Linked DNA regions of Danio rerio. The protein of the gene in region 2 purifies or fractionates together with the protein of the main gene of each other region. This does not show direct contact. Links are inferred from orthologs where the notes say so. Each region holds a gene or a part of one and is shown on either strand. Other genes may lie near its edges.

The links.
Region 1: the proteins of psme3 (region 2) and mrps34 purify together in Homo sapiens (co-immunoprecipitation; 3 studies listed by BioGRID and IntAct, counting the BioPlex papers as one, with this or other methods). This does not show direct contact. The link is inferred for Danio rerio from reciprocal best matches to the Homo sapiens genes PSME3 and MRPS34.

Annotation. Positions count from the first base shown.
Region 1 is NC_133178.1:14,674,709-14,677,540, forward strand, and holds the end of mrps34 (small ribosomal subunit protein mS34), read right to left. Parts: intron 1,719-2,832; 5' UTR 1,714-1,718; coding exon 1,396-1,713; intron 1,306-1,395; coding exon 1,263-1,305; intron 1,134-1,262; coding exon 832-1,133; 3' UTR 561-831; downstream 1-560. UniProt on the Homo sapiens protein: Required for mitochondrial translation, plays a role in maintaining the stability of the small ribosomal subunit and the 12S rRNA that are required for mitoribosome formation.
Region 2 is NC_133187.1:29,020,374-29,024,173, forward strand, and holds the end of psme3 (proteasome activator complex subunit 3), read right to left. Parts: intron 3,769-3,800; coding exon 3,650-3,768; intron 3,572-3,649; coding exon 3,503-3,571; intron 3,385-3,502; coding exon 3,317-3,384; intron 3,223-3,316; coding exon 3,168-3,222; intron 3,074-3,167; coding exon 2,987-3,073; intron 2,634-2,986; exon of another isoform or gene 1,289-2,633; coding exon 1,208-1,288; 3' UTR 504-1,207; downstream 1-503. UniProt on the Homo sapiens protein: Subunit of the 11S REG-gamma (also called PA28-gamma) proteasome regulator, a doughnut-shaped homoheptamer which associates with the proteasome. 11S REG-gamma activates the trypsin-like catalytic subunit of the proteasome but inhibits the chymotrypsin-like and postglutamyl-preferring (PGPH) subunits.

The sequences.
Region 1 (2,832 bases), on a different chromosome or scaffold from region 2:
TTTTTGCGATAAATTGTTACATGAATATTTTCAGAAGATAGTTTGAATATTATAATTGGACGGCTTTCTGGGGAGTCAGGTTGAGTAATTGAATAATCACAATGCAAAAAAATAATAATAAATAATAAGCTTTTCTTACTTTTTGTCTGGTTTCTAGTCCGAATATAAAAATAATCTTAGAGCAAGTAAAAATATTGTTTAGTTTTCACCATCAGAACAAAATAAGTGAAAAGGAAGAGGCTTTTTTCTTTGCTTGTTTTGAGGAAATTATCTGCCAGTGGGCAAGTGAAATAATCTTGTTTTCACTTTGAAATGTAGATGTTTGGACTACAAACAAGACATCAATTCTAAGTAAGAAATGTTTTCTTGCATAAATCATATAAATTCCATATAAATACAGTGATTAAATACAATTCTGTAGCTCCTGGTCAACTATAATTCAGACTGGACATTGCATATTGCGATATCAGTGCTGTAATGGTATATTGTGCAACCCTAGTTTTGATGCATATTTACAAACTACAATAAAACACCAATATCATTTTACACATTTAATTTGCTATTAAACAAATATTAGACACATGATTTTGTGACAAAAAACAAAAAGAGTCTTATGCTTTTGAGTTTGGTCACCTTGATCCAACTGTGTCAAATCTCCTCCTTTTCCTTCTTCATGAGCTGCATATCCACATGAAGATGTACGATGAACCTAGCTATATTTTAGTGAGAATAAAACAGCATCAAACACAAGTCAGTCTTTACAGCCAGCAGTGCTCTTTAAAAAGTGCCTAGGAGCAGAAGTGGTTCCCATCAAAGCGTGACCTTTACCCCTCAGACAGGTGTTCCCTCCTGCTTCTTCAGCTCATCCTGTCTCCTGAAGTACTCCTGATTGAGCGTGACCACTCGTTTGAGGGGCAGCAGGGGCTCTGGAAGAGTGCTGACCTCCACCCCCTGCTCTTTGGCCTGCTGTGCCAGTATCATGGCCCGCAGAAGGGGAGGGTACCGCACTGACCGGGCAGCAGGCTCCGGGACAGGCTCACAGCGCCTGAACTCCTCCTCTTCATGTTTGGGCACCAGTCGCCAGTCATGGTACATCACCTTGTCCACCTCACGCTCCTTGGGCTCCTCTTTACCTGAAATAGACATACAATGTCTCGTTTCTATTCAGATTTCCTCAAAATATATGATATAATCAGCTAGTGTTATTGGAAAATGTGGAGTTGATTGTGTATTAGTTATTTACAGAAAACATCTCGTCTTACCTCTAAATGTTAGGACGCCCCATGCTTTCCCGTGATCCATGTTCTAAAGGAAAAAAAACAAAAAAGTGTTTTTTATAATGTGTATAATAATTTGCATGTGTTTATTTGATTTAATGTCAAACCCCAACTGTACCTCTGCTGTGTAGTCCACCTTGACTTTGGTTATTTTCCAATAGCAGGGCTCCGTGTGCTCGTCCAGCCAGGATTTGCGCGTGAAGAGTCGACCCAAACCAAACATGCGCATGCCGGACAGTAAAGAGAAGAGGCGGGTTTCTCTCTGCACATCCTTCCAGGCCAACACCGGCAGCTTTTTTCCAGAAAAGGGCCGCGTCATGGTGTCGTAGTCTAAAGCATAGCGCTGAGAGTCCCGGGGCCGGTTCTTCAGCTCACGGTAAGCTCGGATCTTCCGTGCCATCTCGGCTATAAGCCTCAAACGCTTTTTCTTTACCATTATGCCTGAATAAAACAAAATTTAAAACATGAAGGATTCACCAAAATTGTAGAGTTGATGCACATCGCTCAAATTCTGTAACCCTTTAGTTTAGGCCACAATTCACTGTATTAACAAACCATTAACTAAAACTACTAGCTCTTAGAATGTAAACACCTTAATCAAACTATTACTGTCGTGTAGGATTTCCCCCGCATATGGTTTGTCACATTTTGTGAAAGGATAGTCTATACACACACGGCTGTTTGATGCTATTCTCTGCACCTACCGAGTGAGTGTCTGTATCTACAGAGAAATGCAGAGTTTTTTTCTCCCGTAAGGCATGCGGTATAGTATTTAATTAAAACTACACCCTTCCAGCAGTTCCTCGCATCCAATATCTTGTTTGTCACGCGTGCATGCATGAAATGTTCCTGAATGAAAGTAAAACTGCAGTTAAAGTCAACAAAATAAGAATGAAACACCCGAAATTAAGTCAAAGTCAAAGTCAGCTTTATTGTCAATTCAGCCACATGTACAAGACATATAGAGAATCAAAATTGCGTTACTCTCAGACCCAAGTTGCTTAACATTAATATAAAAAATATGTATAAAAAAATAGTACAGTTTAAGAAAAAGAAAATTTACAGTATATACATTGCACATAAATGTGGTCTAAAAATATACATAGGTAATAAAAATTGTAAACAATACAGTGACATTAAGGGCATATAGCAAATGAGTGCAAAGTAAACCAGAGTTGTGCAGATAAAGAACAGTATAGTGCAAAAAGAATGTAATGTAATGTATTTTTTATTTATTGCCATGTCAGCAACCAAGGCTATCTTCATGGCAGGAATCTTTCAACAATAAATAATACAATTTAAAAATCAACAAACAAAATAAAACATAAATTAAATAAGATTTTTTGTGTTAATACATGATAAAAATTCTAAAATCTTTTCTGGTTCCACTTTGTCAAAAATTTCCTTAAAAGAGTTAATTTCATAAAAAGTCCTTCTGGAATCAGTAAAAGCAGGACAGTCCAGTAAAATATGTTTTACAGTAATAGGAGTTTTGCAGCACAAACACTGAGTGGGGTTTTCACCTTGGAGCAAAAATCCATGTGTAATTCTCGTA
Region 2 (3,800 bases):
GTCATTGCAGATGTGTGGATGCAGTCCTCCAAGCTCATGGCGGTCATATACAATATTCTTTCTTTTACCACTGCACCATGACTTTATATTCTATACTGTACATTATTTCTGTTAGGTGACAAGACTTTTGTCCAAGCAAAGTCAGACCTTACTGTCCTAATTAAATAATTAAAAATCAAGACATTGTGGTAAAATAAGCTTAATCTAGAGGCCTTTGCCTTTTATATAAAGCACTTCTGATACCAAATAGTCATGTAGAAGTCAAGTTAATATTTATTGTTCCTAAATCTTGGCTAGGCGACAAGACTTTTGTCAGGTAGTGAATAACTCCTAGAGAAAAATACCCATCATACAAGTTTCTTTTTGTTAGCAAAAAGCTAATTAACGAAATTTTACATCTTACGCTTGTTTTTTTTTGGTTGTTTGAATACATGCAGCACACAACAAACTAAACAATTATTCACAAAAAAAGCACAACAGCAGTTAATGACATGCCTTGAATGTATTGTAAAAACAATAGTTTATTCAGCAAAATGTATCACTCTTAAAACTGGACAAAAAGAACAATAAAAAGCTTCCAGGATTTGATGAATCAGTCGTTTCAGATGAAAATATAATACTCCATGTAATAATTGTCAGCTCACACTCCAAATAAAATCTTGCACATGAACTGCCTCGCTTCCACTCTTTAGCCTACACGTACATTTCAGATGAACAACGCAAAACGCTTAAGTGAAATACAGCATCAATAAGAGCTTCTCGACCGGAGAAACCGACCATCAAGGGTAGATCCATCAATCACGCGACCCCTAGAGAGGCTTAGAAGTGGATTCAAAAACTGAACTACATGGACTTTGGCTTTGCAAATGATAAAAAAAAAGAAACTCACGATTGAAGTATTTCTTTAATTAAATAAAGAAAAACAAATCGGAGACAGTTTCTTTGCGACGCATGTTCAGGCTCTGCCTTTATACATTTACACTGTCCGCTAAGAAACAAAACAAAAAAGGGCTTATTTTGAAGGGTTTAAAATAGTGACAATATTTTACAATTCTATCTTAAGTGGCATGTTCTATCAGGCCCGATCGAGTGGTGCGTCTCTTGGCCTGGTCATAATGGGTGACGGAACTATTCTAGAACCACCTGAAAGCTAACACGAGCTCCAAATGGTGGAGAATCGGGCCGGGAAGGAAAGGGGACGGGGGTCTTAGTACAGGGCGTCAGTATTGCTGCTCCTCGGCCTCTTGATCTTCTCGATGTTCTTCAGGATCATGTCATGTAATGTTACCTGCAGGACAAGTTTAGCTCATTAAAGTCATCACAATCTACACTGTAAAAGATTATACCACTGCCTCAAGTGGAATCAAAATAACCATTTTTTGCTATTCCTGCATATATTTTTCTACAAAAAAATTGATTAAAAATAGATTTATGCAGAATGATTTTTAGGAACATAGTGTCTAAAACATTAACACATGAAATAAGATAACTTTTTAACTTAAGGTTTACAATGCAAATCCAATTAGTACTACTTGTTTGGTAAACAAAGCACCAAAAAGTCTCACAAAATATCCAGTGTAACGAATCACGTTTGATCCATGATTCATACGGATCACAACCCATGGTTTGGAACACACATGGCCTGTGGATTAGTACCTTTTTATACTGGTAGATTAATCTTATATTTATCCATTTATTTTTATTAAACTTTCCAAGTTCTGCTGGTTGATGCATGTGCCGAGTTTTCCTTGCCAAACTTAAGCCAATTAGAATTGTTTGTTTTGGATCAATTTGGAATTTCCACAACCCTCAGAGCTCGGGGGATCAGAGTGAGTGATCTTACCTGGCCCCACTCTGATCCAATCCTAAATTTGTTACGATCACAGAAAGGTCGCCTCTCACGTCATTCAAATCACATATATGAAAGCATTTAGGCTTTTCTGTAAAATATAATGATGGCGAAAGAAGTTGTGGTAGGTTGTTCGGGCTGAGGTGAGTCTCATTGAAGGTGTTTTCTGTTACTACTTGTTTAGCCTGCATTAATGCATTCAGTTTAAGTTTAAGCATGATTAATCAGTAAAGGATTGGTATCTCAACAATCACGCAACATAATATATAAATGATGGTGATTTGCAAATATTTATTAATCCTTCCAATTATGAAGCTACAAACAGTGAAATGAGACAGAAGTACTGGGAGAACGGTTTATAGTTTGAATGAAACCAGTGATGTTTATGGTAAAGATTAAAATCATTGTCAAACGCATTCAACAAATGAAAGTTGTAGGCAGCAATTACATAATTTAACCAATAGGTGGCGACAACCAGCCATTAAAAAATATGCAACTGAACAATTCTTCAAAAATGATCGTCTAGCAATGAAACATGACGTTTTATGAGTGAATAACTGAATCATTTATTGAAAATGAGACTAAAAATAAATATGGGTTGTAAAAAATATAATGTTATATTTACACATTTAGTGTTATCAGCAATATTTGTAGAAACCGTTTCAGTTTTTCACAGTACTGAATATTTTACCAATTATTTTAATTCAGCTGATTATTAGGTTCTGTTTGTTAAAACCAAAAGTGTCTTGCATTACTGTTTTTGTAATAAATGGAAAGCAACTGACATTTGTCTCCTCTCCTTTTTGTCTGACCTGAAAAAAGGTCCGATCTGTGACAAAAAAAATCCTAATGTGATCTGAACCATGAGACTTGTGATGCGTTACACCACTAATATCTACCAAGACAGAAAATATTACTTAAACTATTGTACACACATTTTCTAAGCACTTGCATATTTAATTATATTACTAAAATGATGATAAAAACTGAATAAATATACATTTATACATTTAGAGAAATAGACTTAATCATGAGTTCATCATAAACTATGTTTCCATGACATATTGATTAGATCACTTTCTACAGTGTTTAGAACATTTTGCATAATTATTCATCAACTAGTATAGCAGTACTTACGTATTGATTTCGCAGTTCTGACACTATAATCTTGAGGCTGATGTATTCCTTCTCATCAATCTCTGTCACTGTGCGGCGATAATCCTCCTAAACATCCAATAACATGAGATTATCTTAAATATAATAAAACATATTATAGACCTGACATAAATGCTAGTCTGTAAGTGTAATGATGACTTACAACATGAGGGTATTTTGCTATTTTGGAAACCAGCTTTGCCCTTGTGATATAGTACCTGGAAAAAAAATATAAGGATTTTTTTTTTTAATATGAATAAAATTCAAAAGCAAGCCGTTGTCTGCCATTAATATGGATTTAGAGTGAAGCACCTGGATATCTGGTCTAAGAAAGATGCTGCTTCCCCTTCCACTGTTCTGAGTTCAGCAACCGTCTCCTCCTGTGGACAGTAACGACAATCACAATTGCAGGTCAGTGGCTAGCAACTTCTGCATTTGACTTTCACTGATAAGTCCAAAGGTCACAGACAGTGGAAAATATTTAATGTGGCAGCATACCTGAATTGAGACACCAAAATTGTTGCCATCTTCTATTCTAGGGATTAACAACTGAACCCACATCTTGACCTAGAAGAGCACGGGAAAATTATTTAATCATTTACCTAACACGCTTGAGTGAAAGATGGCACAAGACTATCAACGTACTGTGTTGCATTTTTCCATAAGAGTTCTGATTTCAGGCTTGACTTTTTCAATCAGCTCCACCAGCTTGCCATTGCTTTTCATCATTCCACCAGGCATGACAAAGACCTTGGTCCCGCCAACTACAACAGAGCATATACAGGAATCAGAGAGT